3 linked regions of the Pelodiscus sinensis genome follow. The protein of the gene in region 3 interacts with the protein of the main gene of each other region in a pairwise test. Links are inferred from orthologs where the notes say so. Each region holds a gene or a part of one and is shown on either strand. Other genes may lie near its edges. The genes, in order: MAP1LC3A, STAP1 and RETREG3.

Region 1 (7,204 bases), on a different chromosome or scaffold from region 3:
ATTATAATAAAAATAAAAAACAGTTGATACTGGACTTGGGGTGGAAAACTTCTAGTACTTACAGCATGACAAATTACTGTCTATGGAAAAAGGATTAGGAAAAAGAAGCTTCAGATGTTCACAACCCTAGATGAAACTAACTAGTCGCTTCCCCCCACACCTTGCTGCCTCTATCAGAAAGAGAAAGAAGACTAGGGGGTGCTTCAAAGCAGCAGCACCTAGTGGAGCCCGGGGCCAGACCCAGGTCTATCCTGCTGACCCTGGGCTCCATGAGGCACTGCCACTTTAAAATGCTGTGAGGAGCACAGGGCCAATGGGGGACTGCTGGAGTTCCCCCGCTGGCTCCATGCTCCCTGCAGCGCTTTTGCCTTTAAAGTGTCTGTTGCTACACTTCAAAGGCAGAGGCACCCTTATCGATTAATCAATTAGCCAATTAATCCAATGTAACATCCCTAGTTTCATCAGCTTCCACCAATACGCGTTACTAACATTCCAGTCAAATCTTACATGTTTATGGTTATCTGAAGAAGTAGGCTGTGCCCATGAAAACTCACGATATCATCTATATACATGTTTTGTTAGTCTTTAAAGTGTTACCATGCTATTTGTTTTTTAAGTTTATCCTGTACAGACTAACTCGGATACCACTCTGAAGCATGTTTATGGTAGTTTATTGTTCTCTTGACTTCTGCACTGATCCAGCCTTCTTTCAGAGTCTGCCTATCACTATATTTTTAATTTTCTTCCTCCTATAAAATATCTGCACTATCATAGCACCTTCTGTGAATGGTTATGAAATACACTTGTGTTTGAAGCATTATATCTTCTGAACTTCAAAAATATTTTTAGGAAGAACAGTATTTTGAACAAGGAATACTTTGATACCAGAAGGATCTTTAAAAGGAAAGGAATTATTCATCTCACTAGGGTTGAAAGGATGGCACACATACTCAGGTAATAAAGGCTTAATGTATTGTATGGCTGAAAAGTGGCTGATCAATTTCAAAATGCTTTATAAAGAGGAATAAGCAAATTAGTCCTATTTTGCCAACTGGGAAACTGAGGCACTGAAATCACAACAATTTGGTGGTACATGCAAATCTCCTGGGTCCCAATCAGGTGCCTTATCCACTAGAACAATTTAAGGTAGGCCTCTTGCTCATGGTAAGCCACTCACTCACCGGTCCCCAATTAGGGACAAACATGGTAAGGTTTTCAGAAGGACAAAGACCTAAGTTCAAATATATAGGAATACACTAAACAGAGTAAGAACCCCCCCCCCCACCACCACCTTTCCCCTTTTGTGCCAGTTATTTAGAGCAGCATATACTTAAAAATGTATACAATAATCTGTACGATTAATCTGCACATACGATTACTACCACCATATTCACACACAAGGAAGGTGCATGGGTGTAACTGCAAACACAGAGGTCATTTGTTTTTGCAGATACACAGAACTATCATAATTGCACCGAACACATTTCTGCACAAAATGTTTGTAAGTCTAGCTCCCCAAAGCTTGTTTATGTATTAGCAATGGGATTCAAGCCAGAACAACTCCCATAAGCTTAGCAAAAGATGGATCTGAAAATTACAATTCAGACCCATCTTGAAACTAAAGTTTTCCAAGCCTCAATGTGTATTTATTACCTACATTCTTAAGTGCCCATCATCAAAATTCCTGGATTCCAATTATCCATCAGCATTGGGACATACACGGTCATAAATGGAGGCTTATGAAAACTTTACATAAAGCAATTAACTCTCTTCCCCCAAAGCAAAATACTTAAGAAAAATTACTGCTCTGCATTAGTCATTTATCCCCTAGAGGAGAAAACAGGATACAATATAAGCCTATCTTATTAATATTTGCCTAAAAAGGTCATACAAGATCAAAACTATCACTTATTTCTAACAATACGAAACTAAATTACATGAAGTTAAATTAACCTCAGACATAAAACCAAGCATGCCTTCCATTACTATCAATAGACTGTATTTACAGCAGGTTCATTTATAGCACAGATTTCTTTCCTATATTACATGGTGAGCAAAAGAACATACTGCTTCTCACACATTTCACCAATCACGTCAGTGACAACAGACGAGATAGAAATGTAGCCATAGAAATGTAGCCGTGTTAGTCTGGTGTAGCTGAAACAAAAGACAGGGCTATGTAGCACTTTAAAGACTAACAAGATGGTTTATTAGATGATGAGCTTTCGTGGGCCAGACCCACTTCCTCAGATCAAATAGTGGAAGAAAATTGTCACAACCATAGATACCAAAGACTCTCCATGATTTGAAAAGCTTGTCTTACACCTTGACGGACTGCCTGCTGGGATTGAAAGGGAAGCTTTTGGAGGGCATCAGAAATAGACAGGCTAGAATCCTGCCATGTTTGCTTAATCAACCTCTCTCTGGGAGGGGGAGGAGGTGGCTGAGAAAAACACACACATGACTGGACATGTAGCAAGAGTCACGTGCCATCCCAAAGCCGCAGGAGCAGTGCTCCCCACTGACTGTTAAGACCGCTAATTCCCGCCGATGGGTTCTGCAGGCTCCTGGGGCAAACCAGCATTTCCTTTCGCTTGATGCAGGGGTGACATCACCGCGGGGCGGGGCTGCCAATTCCCTCCGGCTCCCCCCGCCCACTCAGCTCCAACCCCAACAAAGCGAGGGGCTCGCCCCGCCCAGCCCCCGCGAGCCACTGGCCGCCACGGGGCGCCCCGCGGGCCTGAGCAGGGGCAGCCTCCCTCAGAGCCCCGGAGCGCGGCGGGCGGGTCCCGCTCAGCGCCCCATGGGGGGGGGGGGGTCGCGCTGCCCCCTCCCGCCGGGCCCCGCACTCACCGAAGCTGCGGCGCTGCTTGAAGGGCCGGTCGGACGGCATGGCTGCGGGGCCGCTCGGACCAGGGGCTCCTGGGGCAGGTGCCCGGGCCGCCCGCTCAGCGCCTCAGCCGCCGTCTGGCGCCCAGGCTCCGGCAGCAACTGCCTGCGGCCAGCGAACGGCGGTGACGTCACCACCCAGCCCTTAAAGGGGAGGTGCAGGGCGCTTTCGGCCGACACCCGTCCGGTGCAGTGTTCCCGCCCCTATTCGTCCCCGCCCCGCCCCCCGGCTTGCCCTCCCCCGCGAGACCCCAGCCTCGGCCCCCCCGCCTCAGACCTCCACTTCCCCCTCCATCGCCCCCCCGCCTCCGACCTCCACTTCCCCCTCCATCCCCCCCCCCGCCTCAGACCTCCACTTCCCCCTCCATCGCCCCCCCGCCTCAGACCTCCACTTCCCCCTCCATCGCCCCCCCGCCTCAGACCTCCACATCCCCCTCCATAGCCCCCCCGCCTCAGACCTCCACTTCCCCCTCCATCCCCCCCGCCTCAGACCTCCACTTCCCCCTCCATCGCCCCCCCCGCCTCAGACCTCCACTTCCCCCTCCATAGCCCCCCCGCCTCAGACCTCCACTTCCCCCTCCATAGCCCCCCCGCCTCAGACCTCCACTTCCCCCTCCATCGCCCCCCCCGCCTCAGACCTCCACTTCCCCCTCCATCCCCCTCCCCCGCCTCAGACCTCCACTTCCCCCTCCATCGTCCCCCCCGCCTCAGACCTCCACTTCCCCCTCCATCCCCCCCCGGCCTCAGACCTCCACTTCCCCCTCCATCGCCCCCCCACCTCAGACCTCCACTTCCCCCTCCATCGCCCCCCCCGCCTCAGACCTCCACTTCCCCCTCCATAGCCCCCCCGCCTCAGACCTCCACTTCCCCCTCCATCCCCCCCCCGCCTCAGACCTCCACTTCCCCCTCCATAGCCCCCCCGCCTCAGACCTCCACTTCCCCCTCCATCCCCCCCGCCTCAGACCTCCACTTCCCCCTCCATAGCCCCCCCCGCCTCAGACCTCCACTTCCCCCTCCATCCCCCCCGCCTCCACTTCCCCCTCCATAGCCCCCCCGCCTCAGACCTCCACTTCCCCCTCCATCCCCCCCGCCTCCACTTCCCCCTCCATAGCCCCCCCCGCCTCAGACCTCCACTTCCCCCTCCATCGCCCCCGCCTCAGACCTCCACTTCCCCCTCCATCGCCCCCGCCTCAGACCTCCACTTCCCCCTCCATCGCCCCCCCGCCTCAGGCCTCCACTTCCCCCTCCATAGCCCCCCCGCCTCCACTTCCCCCTCCATCGCCCCCCCCGCCTCAGACCTCCACTTCCCCCTCCATCGCCCCCGCCTCAGACCTCCACTTCCCCCTCCATCGCCCCCGCCTCAGACCTCCACTTCCCCCTCCATCGCCCCCCCCGCCTCAGACCTCCACTTCCCCCTCCATAGCCCCCCCGCCTCCACTTCCCCCTCCATCGCCCCCCCGCCTCAGACCTCCACTTCCCCCTCCATAGCCCCCCCGCCTCCACTTCCCCCTCCATCGCCCCCCCCGCCTCAGACCTCCACTTCCCCCTCCATCGCCCCCGCCTCAGACCTCCACTTCCCCCTCCATCGCCCCCGCCTCAGACCTCCACTTCCCCCTCCATCGCCCCCCCCCGCCTCAGACCTCCACTTCCCCCTACATCCCCCCCCGGCCGCCTCAGACCTCCACTTCCCCCTCCATCCCCCCCCGCCTCAGACCTCCATTTCCCCCTCCATAGCCCCCCCGCCTCAGGCCTCCACTTCCCCCTCCATAGCCCCCCCGCCTCACACCTCCACTTTCCCCTCCATCCCCCTCCCTGCCTCAGGCCTCCACTTCCCCCTCCATAGCCCCCCCGCCTCAGACCTCCACTTCCCCCTCCATAGCCCCCCCGCCTCAGACCTCCACTTCCCCCTCCATCCCCCCCGCCTCAGACCTCCACTTCCCCCTCCATCCCCCCCGCCTCAGACCTCCACTTCCCCCTCCATAGCCCCCCCGCCTCAGACCTCCACTTCCCCCTCCATAGCCCCCCCGCCTCAGGCCTCCACTTCCCCCTCCATCCCCCCGCCTCAGGCCTCCACTTCCCCCTCCATAGCCCCCCCGCCTCACACCTCCACTTTCCCCTCCATCCCCCTCCCCGCCTCAGGCCTCCACTTCCCCCTCCATAGCCCCCCCGCCTCACACCTCCACTTTCCCCTCCATCCCCCTCCCCGCCTCAGGCCTCCACTTCCCCCTCCATCGCCCCCCCGCCTCAGGCCTCCACTTCCCCCTCCATCGCCCCCCCGCCTCAGACCTCCACTTCCCCCTCCATAGCCCCCCCGCCTCAGACCTCCACTTCCCCCTCCATCGCCCCCCCGCCTCAGACCTCCACTTCCCCCTCCATAGCCCCCCCGCCTCACACCTCCACTTTCCCCTCCATCCCCCTCCCCGCCTCAGGCCTCCACTTCCCCCTCCATCGCCCCCCCGCCTCAGACCTCCACTTCCCCCTCCATAGCCCCCCCGCCTCACACCTCCACTTTCCCCTCCATCCCCCTCCCCGCCTCAGGCCTCCACTTCTCCCTCCATAGCCCCCCCCGCCTCAGACCTCCACTTCCCCCTCCATAGCCCCCCCGCCTCAGACCTCCACTTCCCCCTCCATCCCCCCCGCCTCAGACCTCCACTTCCCCCTCCATAGCCCCCCCGCCTCAGACCTCCACTTCCCCCTCCATCGCCCCCCCGCCTCAGACCTCCACTTCCCCCTCCATAGCCCCCCCCGCCTCAGACCTCCACTTCCCCCTCCATCGCCCCCCCGCCTCAGACCTTCACTTCCCCCTCCATCGCCCCCCCGCCTCAGGCCTCCACTTCCCCCTCCATAGCCCCCCCCGCCTCAGACCTCCACTTCCCCCTCCATAGCCCCCCCGCCTCAGACCTCCACTTCCCCCTCCATAGCCCCCCCGCCTCCACTTCCCCCTCCATCGCCCCCCCGCCTCAGGCCTCCACTTCCCCCTCCATCCCCCTCCCCGCCTCAGACCTCCACTTCCCCCTCCATCGCCCCCCCGCCTCAGACCTCCACTTCCCCCTCCATAGCCCCCCCGCCTCAGACCTCCACTTCCCCCTCCATAGCCCCTCCGCCTCAGACCTCCACTTCCCCCTCCATAGCCCCCCTGCCTCAGACCTCCACTTCCCCCTCCATAGCCCCCCCGCCTCAGACCTCCACTTCCCCCTCCATAGCCCCCCCGCCTCAGACCTCCACTTCCCCCTCCATCCCCCCGCGCCTCAGACCTCCACTTCCCCCTCCATCCCCCCCGCCTCCGACCTCCACTTCCCCCTCCATCGCCCCCCCGCCTCCGACCTCCACTTCCCCCTCCATCGCCCCCCCGCCTCAGACCTCCACTTCCCCCTCCATAGCCCCCCCGCCTCAGACCTCCACTTTCCCCTCCATCCCCCCCGCCTCAGACCTCCACTTCCCCCTCCATCCCCCCCGCCTCAGACCTCCACTTCCCCCTCCATAGCCCCCCCGCCTCAGACCTCCACTTCCCCCTCCATAGCCCCCCCGCCTCACACCTCCACTTCCCCCTCCATAGCCCCCCCGCCTCACACCTCCACTTCCCCCTCCATAGCCCCCCCGCCTCACACCTCCACTTCCCCCTCCATAGCCCCCCCGCCTCAGACCTCCACTTTCCCCTCCATAGCCCCCCGCCTCACACCTCCACTTCCCCCTCCATCGCCCCCCCCGCCTCAGACCTCCACTTTCCCCTCCATAGCCCCACCCGCCTCCACTTCCCCCTCCATCGCCCCCCCGCCTCAGACCTCCACTTCCCCCTCCATAGCCCCCCCGCCTCAGACCTCCACTTCCCCCTCCATCGCCCCCACCGCCTCAGGCCTCCACTTCCCCCTCCATAGCCCCCCCGCCTCAGACCTCCACTTCCCCCTCCATAGCCCCCCCGCCTCAGACCTCCACTTCCCCCTCCATCCCCCCGCCTCAGACCTCCACTTCCCCCTCCATTGCCCCCCCGCCTCAGACCTCCACTTCCCCCTCCATCCCCCCGCCTCAGACCTCCACTTCCCCCTCCATAGCCCCCCCGCCTCAGACCTCCACTTCCCCCTCCATCCCCCCGCCTCAGACCTCCACTTCCCCCTCCATAGCCCCCCCGCCTCAGACCTCCACTTCCCCCTCCATCCCCCCCGCCTCAGACCTCCACTTCCCCCTCCATCCCCCCCCGCCTCAGACCTCCACTTCCCCCTCCATAGCCCCCCCGCCTCAGACCTCCACTTCCCCCTCCATCCCCCCCGCCTCAGACCTCCACTTCCCCCTCCATCCCCCCCCGCCTCAGACCTCCACT
Region 2 (7,014 bases), on a different chromosome or scaffold from region 3:
GAGGCCGCAAGGGTAGTGCTGGGGGTGTGGGGCAGAGACCCCTTTCCTCCAAGGGCTGTGCCACACAGAGACACACATGTTGGCCCCAGCAGCCAGCTGCTTTGAATGGTGTGTGGGGCCGCTACCGACAGGGAGCCAGCCCGCTGGGCTAAAGCGGGCCCGATCCAAATCTGCCTGGGACCATCTGCAATAACCTCAGGACATATTTTGTCAATGGTTTATTTTTATTTGATTCCTTTCACTACCACACACGTTCCACAACCAGCAATCCCCACTCCGGCTGAAATAACACTAGGAAAACGGATCTTTTCTGGTCACAGGCGAAACAATGCTAAGATAGTCAAATCATTAATTATATGGTATCCTAAACATGCTTTAAAATACAGACACAGACTGACTCCATGCCCTAGAGAACGCATGGTTGAAAGCCCTGCTCCCCAAAAGGAATCCATATGGGTCCTATGTGACTCTCTTGGCAGGGTGAGGCCTAAGTTAAGAGAAGAATAAAGAGATAAGAAGGATACAGGTGGATTGGAAACCTCGGCAAAACCAGAAGTTTGGTAAGATTCACTGTTACACCCGCACTGCTCCTGGACATGTCTGACCTAGCCTTGAATGGTAGCCCCTGAGGTGTTCCTATTATTAAAAGCTTGGGAGGAAATGCAGCTGTATATCGGACCCCTCCCGTTTCTGAAATTACTCATCTCACTACAAGCTTTCGTGGTGCCCCAGGTAATCCTGCTGCAGTGCTGAAACATTATCTGTTGCCTGTACGATCTTGGTGTCAGGCACTCAACTGCTGGTATGTGAGCTAGTGACTCTGGAAAGAGAGTAGGTTTTAAATGATTTCACATATGGGAGAAACCTGAAAAATAACTGCTGATTTATTTCTGGACTGAGATGCAGCATGATGAAACTTCAACCAATCTGCCATGCTAGGATATAGCATTAATAGTGATGTTCAAAAATCCTGCTGTTCTAAACTTCCTCTTTCTGTATCGTAGGGAGAAAAAAAATGGTGGTAGTTGCTTTCCTCATTGTGAGATAAGTGTATCTCCTTCCCCCCACCATACTTAAAAAAAAAAAAAAAAAGCAAGAAGCAAAAGTCTAAAGGTAAACTTATTTATGAAAAAGTTCATATCTGAGCAGTGATCAAGCACAGAAAATGTTCAATCTCTTACAGCTATGACTGGGTGGGAAAAAGGAGGATTATAATGGAAATTGTTTTGTAATATTAAATGTAATTATCTCTATCAAGAACTGAAATAAAAAAATCGGTACTAAAAAGCAGTCAGCGCATGTTCAAGGACCTGATCTGTAAATACTTAATACAGGTTGAACCTCTCTAGTCTAGCACCTTTAGGACTTGACTGGTGCTGAACCAGAGAATTTGCCTAACCACAGGAAGTCAATGTTGTCCAGCAGCATTCCCAACTCGTCCACTGCTTGCTGGGCTCTTAGGAGACATTTAGGGGTAAATGAAAGCTAAGTAACAGCCCAGAACCCTGAGAGCCAGGACTGGGGGCTGTAAACAAACTTTATGGGACTGCAGGAAACTTGGCCACACCCGTGATAAGTGGAAATCCTGCTCACTAAAATCATGCCGGACCACGGATGTTGCTGGACCAGAGAGTGCCAGACTAGCAAGGTTTAACCTGTAATCATGTTCATGCATGCATAAAAAATCAAGGTCAGGGCCTAAATGATTATCCTACCTCATTACTCGACTGTGCTTCCAAAACAGTCCATAAATATATGCTCAATCGGTTAGGCATTATATATTGTTAATTATAGTAAGTCATCATCACGCTCATTTAAAATGCTATCTCACTGAGAATTTCAGGATTAAGACTAGTATCGGATAGTTGAGAACAAGGGAAACAAATCAAATTTTGCTCTGGTGGCTTAAAATGTAATTGAAGTGTTGCAGCTCTGAAATCTGTCTCAATCAACTTTCCTGTAGATTATAAAAAAAAATTTAATAGAGTACTGAATAATTATTGTGGTGTGTAAGGCAGTTGTTTTGATTATGCACATGTATGGAATATGCTGGAATCGTTTAAGAGTACACTGGCAAACCTTAAATAAACTTCAGCTTCAGAAATCAACATCTTTCTCTATCTTTCGGTTTGTTATACCATTGTCTACAGTAAAGGAAATGCATGTCTATAAATGGAGAATATTATGTTACATTTTATATTTATATTATTTTATTAAACATTATATTTAGTTGAATATATATAACTAAAATCTGAAAGCAAAAGAAGTAGTTTCAAGTACGGGAAATATTACTTTCTGATGCAACAGCCAGGTCTTGTTTATGTACAAACTTTCACTGAAATATTTAAAGGTGTGAATTAAAACAGATTTTGTGATTTCATTTAAGTCTGTGTGTGGATGGATACTTCAGATTAAGAGTATCCTATTTTGATTTTGCTTAAATTGGTAAATAATTGATCTTAATCAAATTCTCCTGGGACACTTTTATTCTGAAGTAAGTGTCCACAAGAGGCCAGCCATCACTGCCATAAGGAAAGGTAAGAATTCAAAGAAGTTTAATTATTTCAGTGCAAGTTGAGGTGCAGATCAGACCTAAGGAACAGACCTCTAATGAGTTAACAGTTTCTCAAGGAAAGTTTAATTGAACATAGCTTTTTATGCACTTACCTGGTACCGTGTACATCTGATAGATAGAAACCCTTCAAAGTACAAGGGAAGAGCAGTAATCCTCTGTCTCTCCTGGAAGATCCGTCGAGGAGCTGGTTCAGGGATTTTCCCAGGCTCTGCCATCCTGCCTCCACTCTGTCCCCTAAATCTTGCCCGTGTGCTTTTCCACTGTCTATTCTTGCCTGCTTATCTACAGCCTCTGGCAAAGGAAAGCTAACCCTGGTTTGAGAACGCAAGGTGACAGTACAAAGAGGAAGTCTCAGTGGTTACTTTTAAATAAACACACACCACACAGACCCTTTTCTCACTGTACAATCCGAGGAGGAACAAGATTAAATGGATTAAAGGGAAGTTTCCTAGCATGGTAGATTGTTTCCATCATGCAAATGAGAATTATGGCATTTCTTATCAGGATTATCATTACTGGATTTAGTTAGCGATCCCTCCCACAGATTCTGGACTCTTTACAGGTGACCTGCAAAGAGAGAGAGAGAGAGAGAGTGCCCATTGGCTTCCAAAATGTTTGTTTTGGCATTCTAACATTCTGCTTGGCTTTTTACAATATGAATGTCTGATGATTGCTTTTGCGGGAGATCTGGTGAAACCGTGACATCACAAGAGTGATTGAGAGAAGGTATTGTTAGTGAAAACTGCTGTTTTTGTTATGCAGCCAACAAAAAGGAGAACAACTTTCTTTGTGGAAAATCCATCATCCCCAAAAGTTCAGACAACGTGGGGGAGAGTTCCGTTTCCCTGGCTGACATTTTGGCCGTATGGAAGTCAACGGCAAAACTCATGTTGACTTCAGCAAGGCCAGAATTTATCTTCAGGTTTGTGACTATGCCTCAAGAAATAAGACACACCAAGGCATGATGAGATTTCCATAAGTAACAAACAAGCAAAAAGTATTTGAAGGCCTGCTCTAGAAAAAGGGGAACAATATTTGAAGGCCTGCTCTAGAAAAAGGAACACATTTCCCCCCCTTATTTTTGTGGGTTACCTTCACGGCTCCTTTTCTGTTTCTCTGCAACGTTCACGCAGATCCAACAGAGCTTTAATATATGTGACCTTTCCTTCTTGCAAGGCAATTTTTAGACTCTGCAATTACTAGGCAAAGATAACTGAAAATCTGGTCCTTCCCAGAAATATATAAAAGTAAAAAACTCTATTTTTAGTCTGCAAGCAATTCTTTTGTAAGAATTTGAGTTGACAGATTTTTTCTAATTGTGCTACTTTCGGCATATTTTTGTTGTAAAATGGCAGAACTCGACTCTACTGGGGAAATTCAGCAATGGGGCAAGTTTTCTGACATTCAATAGCCGAAGAAGGCCTCTACTGTAGGTTCAGCCTTAGAAAGCCAGCACAATCTAAAACCACCTTGAGTTCAAAACAGAAATCAACATGTAATAAAAAGGGTTGCTTTTTAATTATATTTTGATAGATTACAGCATGATTTGTTGAAGGTGTTGACCCCAAAAGATTTTATATTTCAACTCAGAGGTAGACCCTTGAGGTCTAAAGCATTACTCTCTAAATAATAATAGACTTGTCTCACCACTCTGCTACAGTGTGTGTGTGTGTGTGCGCGCGCGCACATACATGAATGCAAAACGAGTGTAAAAGACTAGTAAATCAGAATGGAACTCACACTGTAGGGATGTGAATCACTACATTAAAGTGGAGGATGTTGGAGAATCAGTTCCTCTCTTTATTAACTCTTATAAGAACGCTTCTTTTAAACAAAATCACCGGAAACAGCATGTCACATATTCAGTTTCTCACTCTTTAATATAGTAACACTTTTTGTTACAGAGATGTGATGATTATTGCATATCACTCTACGATGTTTCTGTAAGCAGGAACTCTCTGTTTAAATAGCTTGCTTGTTTAAACAGAAAGGATTTGTAAACCTTTTAACTATTTCTAAATAAATAATGTTTCTCTTTTCAATTACTTTTTGGGTTTTGTTTTGAAGTGACTGTTCTCAGTGAGTTGCCTTCTCAGTTCTGTAACAGTGTGTGAAGTATCAGAGGGGTAGCCGTGTTAGTCTGGATCTGCAAAAGTGACAAGGAGTCCTGTTGCACCTTATAGACTAACAGATTATGCTCCAATACATCTGTTAGTCTATAAGGTGCTACAGGACTCCTTGTCGCTTTAACAGTGTGAGAGACAGCTTTCCCTTTGAATTTTTCATCTGGCTTTTTTATGATTTTTTTTTAAACACACAAACTGTAGGATATTTTGAACCATTTCAGAGGTGATATTTAGACCTGTTCAAAGTTTCCCTTTCTTTCGAGATGTGTCATCTTTGATGAAACGTCATCCATGATACCTTCCCTAGCGGAAATGATCATTTTCGCAGTGAAAGAACCTCGTGACTTTGTGTTTTTTAATAAACTAAGCAAAACCACAACTGAAGAAACCCTAAATAAATTGCAGGCACCTCTGCACTATTGTTTCACATTTTCATAAAACTTAAGATTTTTCACTTGAGACATCTGCCTCTAGAAGATACTTCCCCCCCCCCAAAAAAAACCTCTGTTAAGATGCTAATCTATATTGTCTTGCACTATGGTTCTTTTACACCACGCCAATGGAGCAAAGGTACCATAAAGGCAACAAAAATATTTACCAGGAAATATCACTAGCACAGAATTTTTTGGCATGCATACTCATGTCCATTCCATTTTAGGTGTGTGTGTGCTGGCCACATGTGCCAGTCCCAGATGTTTTTCTCTCAGCAGTATCTGTAGGGGAACGATTCTGGTGATCCTTAGAGTGGCGTCCTCATGGCGTGATATGTGCTTCCCCCACCCTCTGTTTTTTCTTGTCCCCCATGCTGGTGCACAGATTGTTCACTGCTCTATAGTGTTGCTTGGGTTTTGTTCAGAGCATCAAGTGTTGCATCTGTAAACCCTAAGTGGAGGACTAAGGAGGAGCGAGAAATCAGACTTCGGGCACTGCTGATGGAGTCGGCGCTCACTCCAGCACAGAGCAGCAGTCCCACTCAGCACCCACCATGGTGGCATTGGTGCTGGCGCCAGCGCCCAGCACTGAGCCCCACCTGTAGTTGCGGCCAAGACACCCAGTAAGGCAGGTAGGCACTGGTCTCCCGCTCCCTGTAAGGGGGAGGACAGGCTAAGACCCGTGTTGGGCTCCCTGTTTGGAAAGACGGGCCCCAGCGGTGCAGCCCATCCCATTCCCGGCCGGGACGCAGAAGAGAGACTCTGTCTGCTTCAGGAGTCATCGGCGCCCAAAGCTCTCCAGGCTGCGCAGCAGATCCTGTCGTTCCTGGTGCTGCTCACACCAGCCCCGGCGGCACCCAGTCCTAGGGGCATGCCTGCCTCAGGACCCATCCATCCCGCTTCACCACAGCGGCATCACCCCCATCGCAGGGAACATTCCAGCACCGCTCACCTGCAGGACGTCGACACGTCTCGGACTTGGGGAGCAGTCAGGTCACCAGATTCTGGGCGCCGGCAGAGGTCGTCAAGATGGACTTCGCTGGCAGCCTGGTGCAGATCCTCCAAAGCAAACGCCTCCGGGAGAGAACACTGGGATTGTCTTCATGTGTGTCCACATCCTTTCTATAGTGGGGGGCCCAGAACTGGACACAATACTCCAGATGTGGCCTCACCAGAGCCGAATAAAGGGGAATAATCACTTCTCTGGATCTGCTGGCAATGCGCCGTATTGGTGCCATTCTTGGAGGCACCTAACCCTATGGCTAGCTGCTAGGGGAAAAATCTACTGGCAACTGTGCATGGGTGGGTGCACACACCTGATGGGAATAGATATGTGCAACTCACCTCTAAGAACTACAGTTTCGAAAGGTTTTTATGGACCAGGTCACCGTCTTTTTTTGGATGGCACTGAACTCGCTATAATGGCTCTGCTGAGCCCTTTAAACTCCAGTTTAGAAGGCAGGCCAGGGCTAGCACAACAGTGACACTGAACTCCAGCTATTTTTGGCTGCTGGCAGGACTCCAAGGAGCTGCTCTGGCCTCAGACAAAAAGTTGAGCCTTTCCGAGCTAAGATTTGAAATTAGACTTTGTTTTTATTTTGAAATATTTGCCATGTCTCTCTGGACAGCTACGTATGCAAATCCCATTATAACATACGCTTTTAAGTGAAGGCAGATACAGGTTTCTGGGATACGAAAAGTAAAATGTTTGAGGCCTCTCAGGGGTAGCTGTGTTAGCCTGTAACCTTAAAAACAAGTGGTCCTGTGGCACCTTAGAGACTGACAAAAATATATAGAGAATTATGAGCTTTCATTGGTAAAACCCATTCATCTGAGGAAGTGGGTTTTCCTACTAAAAGCTCATGATTTTACACTATTTTTG
Region 3 (7,303 bases):
AGCAAACTACAGTTTCCATTCACTCCCTGATGAAGGGGAACAGCCAGCAGTGTCCTCATTCAAGGGCACCTGGGGGGAAGAGAGGAGGGCATCCAGCCCCTTTTACCTGCCTAGTGACGTTGTCTCTTTTTGGTACGGTTTTAAGAGAAGAAATGCCATTCCACGCCCATCCCATTTTCCTGGCACAACCAAACCCTTACATTGCTTTAAAGTTATGATCAGAGGAAGCTGCCTACCGAATTTGGTGATCCTAGCTCTTACCATTTAGGAGGAGTTCTTGAACAGAGACAAACTCTCTAAAATATCTAGTAGATGAAGGGTCAGACCCACTAGTTCCACTTTAGTCAATTTCTCCACGAAGGGCTGTTCTCCCACCACCCCATGCTCAGTCCCCTGAAAGTAGTATCTGCACTTGTAGTTACCCAGACAAGAATCCTCTTTGGCTAAGTAGTATCATTGGCTCAGACTCCCTTTGGAACACATCATTCTCTTGCAGTCAGAAAGATGCAGACAATCCCCAGGGAGGAGAGGGAAATGAGTGAGAGAGCAGTGTTACAACCACTCAAACTTTCTCATTTGTTTTAAGTCAGCTACCCCCAGCTGCATGAGGCTATTGGAAGACCATGGGACAGAGTTACAAAAACATATTGCAACTGATGAAGTCAAAACTAGCCTACCAGTCACTCCTGACTTTCAAACTAGAGATACAGAACTCACAACAAAGGACTGGTTGGTAACCTTGCAGTTCTACTATCTTGCAAACTTTTTATGTTTAGACTTGGCAGAAGAGAATTCTCACCATTATGTTTTACACTCAAGCTGTAGGTTAGCAGCTATTCTTTTTGGTAGCACATGCTTACATACGACAAACCTAAACTTGAATTACTAGCTGCAACCATTTAACAGCACCAGAATAAGTTTACTGAAAGACACTTGAACATCCATTTTCGGCACAGGGGCCTGTTAAATAAATAGTTCCATGCAGCCATGGACTGCCAGAAACACACTACTGAACCAAAATAATCACACACATCTTTATTAGAACAGCTCAAACGCTAATATTTCTCTGCAGGAGAAAGATCAATGCACTTCCTTGTGGGAGAAGAGAAAATGGCTATTTACATGGACTAACCAACTGACAAAGACTCTAGAACTTCACATGACCTGTTTACTCATGTCATGAGAATCCACTCAAGGCAACAGATGCTACCAGCTTGCTGACAGACCACATCTGGGCTGTCAGCTGCCCGCATGTTCCACCGCTTTGCTCCCCGTCCCCCTGGTCTGCAGACCAGGGAGACGGGGAGCAAAGCAGAGCAAAGCTGCGGAGCACACAGGCAGCGGACAGCCCAGACGCATCTGGGCTGTCCGCTGCCCGCTGCCCGCGTGCTCTGCTGCTTTGCTTCCTCTCCCTGGTCTGCTGGAGACCAGGGAGACGGGCCCCGTTTGTAACTGCAGATCCGACGTAAGTCGGATCCGCGTAACTCGGGGACTGCCTGTATTTTTGCCCACAAAAGCTTATGCCCAAATAAATCTGTTAGTCCTCTAAGGGGCCACAGGACTCCTTGTGTTTTTGTGGATACAGACTAACATGGCTATCCCTCTGCTACACATCAAAAAAATGTATCAACAGGACATTAATGTCCTACACCTAGTCAGTCACTAAAAAAACTACTCTCACTCAGAATTAATCCTATCTACAAACCCCTTAGACAATAAATATTCCACACAGAATTGTATGTTGGTTTCCCAGGAACATTTAGCTCATGCCCATGAGGGATGTAAGCAAGCAGTTGAGCGGAGTATTCAAATACTCGCTCCCCCCTTGCTCCATCTGTATTGGGGAAAGGGGACAGGAGCGGCTAGGGGGAACTGGCTTAAAAGCTGTTTTCCCCTGTAGCATCTTTGCTGAGGTGCCACCTGCTCCCCCCACGCCCCGCCCACTGCTGCCTCTATCAGAGGCAGTAGTAGCAGGGAAAGGGGTGTGCATCCTCAAAGCAGCTTCTGTTCACGGTAGTCCAGGCTAGAATCATAGAATTGGAAGAGACCTCAGAAGGTCATCAAGTCCAGCCCCCTGCTCTAGGCAGGTCCAATTCAAACTAAATCAACCTGGCCAGGGCTTTGTCAAGCCGAGACAAACACCTCTAGGGATGGAGACTCCACTACTTCCCTAGGGAACCCATCCCAGTGCTTCACCACCCTCCTAGTGAAATAGTTTTTCCTAATATCCAACCTGGCCCTCTCCCACCACAACTTGAGACCATTGCTCCTTGTTCTGCATCTGCCACCACTGAGAACAGCCTCACTCCAGCCTCTTTGGAACCTCCCTTCAGGGAGTTGAAGGCCACTGTGAACAGGGGCTGCTGAACTTGGCACGAGCCGGGACCGAGCAGTCCTGGCTCATACTGGTTCCGGGCTGCGGCGGCGCCGGCTTTTAAACAGAGCCAGGCAGTTCTTAGTACCTTTCAAAGGCAGAGCCGCAGCGGTGCCGGAGCGGAGCCGGGGGACTCGTGCCGGCCCCCGGGAGCGAGCCCTGCAGAGCTCCTCCCTTCTCGACAGAGGCGATGCAACTGGTGTCGCCTCCCCCATAAGTCAAACACTCCCCCCCCCCCGCAGGGCGCGCAACCGAGACGCTGTTGCAAAACATCTCCCCCCCCCTCCCCCGAGCTCTCGCCGGGCGCTAGCGGAGGACACGGGGCAAGCCCAGCACGAGCAGACTGGACGCGCCCCGGAGCTCGCCCGCAGCCCGGAAGCGGCGGAGGAGCCCCCCCCCCCCGGGCGCGCCCCTCCCCCGCTCGCTCACCAGAAGGCGCCGTGCGCGCCCGCCCAGCCCAGCGCGCTGCGGCCCGGCCGCTCCCAGACCAGCGCCGCCTGCAGCGCGCTCAGCAGCGGCTCGTAGGGCCCCAGCCGGGCCTGCAGGGCGGCGCTCAGCGCCCGCACCCGCCGCTCCCGCTCGCCGGGCCCGGCCGCCGCCGCCGCCATCGCTTCCCCCGCCCGGGGATCAACATCCGCTCCGCGTCGGCACGTCACGCCGCCGCGCCGGGTCAGCCCGGCCCCCAAGCGGGGTGACCAACCGCCGCCCGCGGCATGGCGGGACACTCAGGGCGCGGCCATCTTCCTGTACGGAAGGGCGCCTTCCTAACTGCGCATGCGCACGGGGAGGTGGGGTGTGGTTGGGTGGTTTTTTTGTGCGCGCGCAGGTTTTTTTCCCTCCTTCCGATGCACGTTGCCAGGGCGATGTTTAGGGGCCGGCCTAGCGCGCTGGTTGACCCGGAAGCGCATCCCGCGCATGCTCAGTTCCGCTGGGCGCCGGGCGGGAGGACGCGAAGGCGACCGGTGCAACGAGGAGCCGGGTCGGGGCGCAGCGGCCGAGATGCCACGAGAGATTATCACCCTGCAGCTGGGCCAGTGCGGCAACCAGAGTGAGGGCGGGGCCTGTGCTTGTGGGCGGGGCTTGTGAGGGGGAGGGGCCTATCCCGGCGCGGGGCTTTGTACGGGGCGGGACCTGTGCTTGTGGGCGGGGCTTTGTGAGGGGGAGGGGCCTATCCCGGCGCGGGCCTTTGTACGGGGCAGGGCCTGTGCTTGTGGGCGGGGCTTGTGAGGGGGGAGGGACCTATCCCGGCGTGGGACCTGTGCTTGTGGGCGGGGCTTTGGGGGGGTCTCTGGGAAACTGAGGCACAGAGTAGGGCCAGGCCTGTCCCCCTCCTGGGCTGGCTGGCTGGGGGCGTGCTGCGGGGGCTTTCATCTCCCCTCCCCCAGGCTGAGCTCTGGCCGCTCTCTCCTGCAGTCGGGTTCGAGTTCTGGAAGCAGCTGTGTGCTGAGCACGGCATCAGCCCCGAGGGCATCGTTGAGGAGTTCGCCACCGAGGGTACCGACCGCAAAGACGTCTTCTTCTACCAGGTAAGGGGGGGCGTCCCACCAGGGCTCTGCGCTGCATGCTCCAGAGAGCTCTGCTCCTCCCCGCCGCCGGAGTCCATCGCTGAGATCCAGCCCAGGCTCGGCCAGATGCCCTTTTCCTAGGGCTTCCCCTCTGAGCCTCCTCTTGCAAAACAAAAGCATCACTCCGCCACAGAGATGAAGCTCTGGAAGTCTGGCACTGCCAGCCCCCTGTTGGCATAATGCTGGTATCTCCCAAAGCCTCCAAGAGCCCAGGGGGGATCCTACTCAAGAGTTTCTGGTCCACATTTCTTCTCTGTTCTCTCTGGCTGGAGCCCAGGCTGGCTTGTGGGGTCAGCAGTAGTGAGATTCAGTTGTTATGTCAGTCCACAAAGTCTGCTCCTAGTCAAAACCCTTCCCTCTTGATGGTTCTTATCTCCTCTGATGAGAACAAACCCCACCTCTAACTCCTCCTGCTGAGGACACGCTGGGGATTTTGTCTATCCAGCAATTCAAATTTGAATTATGAAAAGGGGCTGATGAACTCAGTCCAGCCCAAAGCTCATTTACGTCATTGGTTTCTCTACCAAGATCTACTGCTTAACAGCATGTTGTCATGGCCTAGGGCAGGGATGGGGAACCTATGGCCTACAGGCCGGATCCTGCCCCGATTTGGCCTGTGATAAGGTTTGGAGCTTACCCTTGCAGTGGGGTGAGCTGGCACTGGTGCCAAGGCTTGGAGACTGTGTAACTGGCGCACCAGCTCCCTGCTGCAGTGGAGAGTAGCAGGGAGCCAGCGTTAAAACCCCTGTATGATCAGCTCTGCCTTGTGCAGGGAGGAAGTGGATCTGCATGCTGCTGTTTCCCCTCCCCCTCGCCTGGGGGAACAGCAGGGCAGGGAAGCCTGTCCCTGTGTTTTCCTACAGGCTTTTCCCCTGCCACTTCCATTGGCCAAGAATCATGGGGTGCTGCCTGCGAGCACAGGGCAACATGAAGCCACCGGTGCTTCTCCCCCCCCCCCCCCCCCCCGCCAAACAGAACTGCATCAGAGAAGTGCCCCGATCCACTGCCTCGTCTCGCACCCAATGGGTCAGTGCAGTGCTTCTTGTAAGCTGGGTGCTTGTGCAGCCACTCAGGAGCAATTCCAATGCCTCCCAGCTGATTAGCAGAACACCCACAGCTAGTATTGTGTTTCTACTGGTGGTGTATGTTTGCACATGCCCTGGTGCACATCAAAATGTATTTTGCACATGGATGGAAAAAATCTGCACCTGGAGGGAAAAAGATTAGGCCAATGGTTCCCCACCCCGGCGTAGAGCCTGATGTGCTGTAGAGGACGATGGGTGTAGAGCGCTGGGGACCAAAGGAGCAGTTCATATTTGTTCCATATTTACTCTGGTTGGGAGCTGTTTGGGTCAGGCCCATGTCTTTATTCCGTGATGCCCAACATGACTGGGCTACTAGGGGCTCCCACAGTACAGCCAATGCAGTTCCTGTACAGTCTCTCACAGTAAAGGTGTGTTATACTGTTCTCTCACCAGTGGGTGGCACCCTCTGTCACAGTCTGGAATTGTGCCTCGTTTTGATTCTAGGCCCTCTTGTCCTTCTCTGTGCAGGCGGATGACGAACATTACATCCCCCGAGCTGTGCTGCTGGACCTTGAGCCCCGAGTGATCCATTCCATCCTGAACTCCCCCTACGCCAACCTGTACAACCCAGAAAACATCTACTTGTCTGAGCATGGTGGTGGGGCTGGGAACAACTGGGCCAGCGGCTTCTCCCAGGTAACAGGGCTGGAACTGGCCCGTGCAACTGTAACTCCGATCCCTGGGCTGGAGATGTTGTCTGGGATGTCTGGTCTCCCAGCAGGTGCTGGCATGTGATTGCTGTGGCACCTTTCAGCGGTGATTTGCAGGTGACAGCTCGCAGCCAACTGTCTGCCGGCATGGCTGGAAGCCTCGTCTCTCAGCTGATTTGGCTTTGCAATGTGTCTGGGAAGTGGCTCCTTGCAGCTGCCCCTGGGGAAAATCAATGAACGATACCTTTGCTTTGGTTTTATCTCGCTAGGGCGAAAAAATCCATGAAGATATCTTTGACATCATAGACAGAGAGGCTGATGGGAGCGACAGCCTAGAGGTAAGGAAATGAGGATTCCCTCGTCCGTTGTTTTCTGAGCCAGGCTGCTATTTTCGGAGGGCAAGCCCGACCCTAAGGTTTCTGCTGTGTTGTCCACGTGGAGGCAAGGTCTGTAGGGAAGCCTGGCAGGTTGAAGATCTTTGGGGGTCAGGAATCTGGATGCTAGGCAACAGACACATGGAAAGGGTTAATCCTAGGCAGGAGGCCTTTCTCATCTCTGCCACATCCTCTCAACCTTCCCTTTCACCCCGGGCCCACCTGAGACAGGCAGGAGTTGTCCCTGCTGTGTTCCTTACTGAACATTTTCCAAATCCAGTTACAAAGAGCACCAGCAGCAGGCTCTTCCCAGAGCAGATGATGGGCCCTTACCAGGACTCACAACTAGGAAGGCCTCCATTTACCTTTTCTTCAGTTCATCCCATTCCTCCTGCTTGTCTCCTTTAGTATTGGCCTGAATAGCTCCCCTCTCTGCTTCCAAAGGGAGAACATGCTAGCCCCGTGCTGTCCTGTGCTGTCCGCTCCTATTGGTACCCATCTTTCCAGGCTGCCCTCCAATGACTCTCCTGCTCCAAGAAGAGCGCTGCTGAAGTGGCACCTGCCTGCTCTGTCAAGGCGTCGCAGGCGGAAGGGTGTTTAGTTTGGTGCCGGGAGTGGCAGCCTGCAGGTGTTCTCAAGAGGGCTTTGTGTGCCTCGGAATCGGCTCTGAAGAGCTCGTGGCAGCTGGTTTCAAAGGGCTTGAGCCTGTCAGATTCCATGTGCAGGCCTGGCCCTCTGACCCTTCTGCTGCTATCAGTGATGCTGTGGAAGGAGGGACTCTCCGTCCAGCCATGGGATCCCATCTGGGCTTGCGCCTGTTTCACTTTCACCCCTGAGCAGACAGAGCCCCCTGCTGTTTACATCTGGCGGTTGCATGGCAACGGGGGAGGGGGGAAAGGTGATAGGAAATAAGAGGTGGCAAGAGGACTGAGGAGCAGCTGGGGGAGAGGCTTAGAGCACCTCTGAGCTTATTTGGTTTAACTGAACAGGCCTCAGGGGAAACAGGGTCCCTTCCGGTGTCTGTGTGGCTCCTGGGAAGTGCTGAACTCGGGGGAGGGGGCCCTCCGCAAGGCTTGTGAGCGGGGAGCGCTGTTCTCGGTGGGTGCCGAGAAGGGAGCCCCTGTGCTTGTGACAGAAGCGCTGGGATTGGTTTGCAGCTCTCCGGGCCTCGTGGGGCTACGCTCGGAGTGTTGGGGACTGCCCGCGCGCCCCAGCGATTCCTGGCACAGGGCCAGAGGGCGGCAGCTGCCATCTG

What was found.
Region 1: the proteins of RETREG3 (region 3) and MAP1LC3A interact in binary tests that used the Homo sapiens proteins (3 or more experiments, as listed by UniProt). The link is inferred for Pelodiscus sinensis from reciprocal best matches to the Homo sapiens genes RETREG3 and MAP1LC3A.
Region 2: the proteins of RETREG3 (region 3) and STAP1 interact in binary tests that used the Homo sapiens proteins (3 or more experiments, as listed by UniProt). The two-hybrid records come from large-scale screens. The link is inferred for Pelodiscus sinensis from reciprocal best matches to the Homo sapiens genes RETREG3 and STAP1.

What each region holds. Positions count from the first base shown.
Region 1 is NC_134728.1:35,701,202-35,708,405, reverse strand, and holds the start of MAP1LC3A (microtubule-associated protein 1 light chain 3 alpha), read right to left. Parts: upstream 3,030-7,204; 5' UTR 2,894-3,029; coding exon 2,854-2,893; intron 1-2,853. UniProt on the Homo sapiens protein: Ubiquitin-like modifier involved in formation of autophagosomal vacuoles (autophagosomes). While LC3s are involved in elongation of the phagophore membrane, the GABARAP/GATE-16 subfamily is essential for a later stage in autophagosome maturation.
Region 2 is NC_134715.1:4,113,258-4,120,271, reverse strand, and holds the start of STAP1 (signal-transducing adaptor protein 1), read right to left. Parts: upstream 3,058-7,014; 5' UTR 2,791-3,057; coding exon 2,668-2,790; intron 1-2,667. UniProt on the Homo sapiens protein: In BCR signaling, appears to function as a docking protein acting downstream of TEC and participates in a positive feedback loop by increasing the activity of TEC.
Region 3 is NC_134739.1:8,830,890-8,838,192, reverse strand, and holds the start of RETREG3 (reticulophagy regulator 3), read right to left. Parts: upstream 3,098-7,303; 5' UTR 2,983-3,097; coding exon 2,804-2,982; intron 1-2,803. Other genes in the region: TUBG1 (tubulin gamma-1 chain), read left to right, coding at 3,290-3,422, 3,788-3,900, 5,493-5,660, 5,944-6,012. UniProt on the Homo sapiens protein: Endoplasmic reticulum (ER)-anchored autophagy regulator which exists in an inactive state under basal conditions but is activated following cellular stress.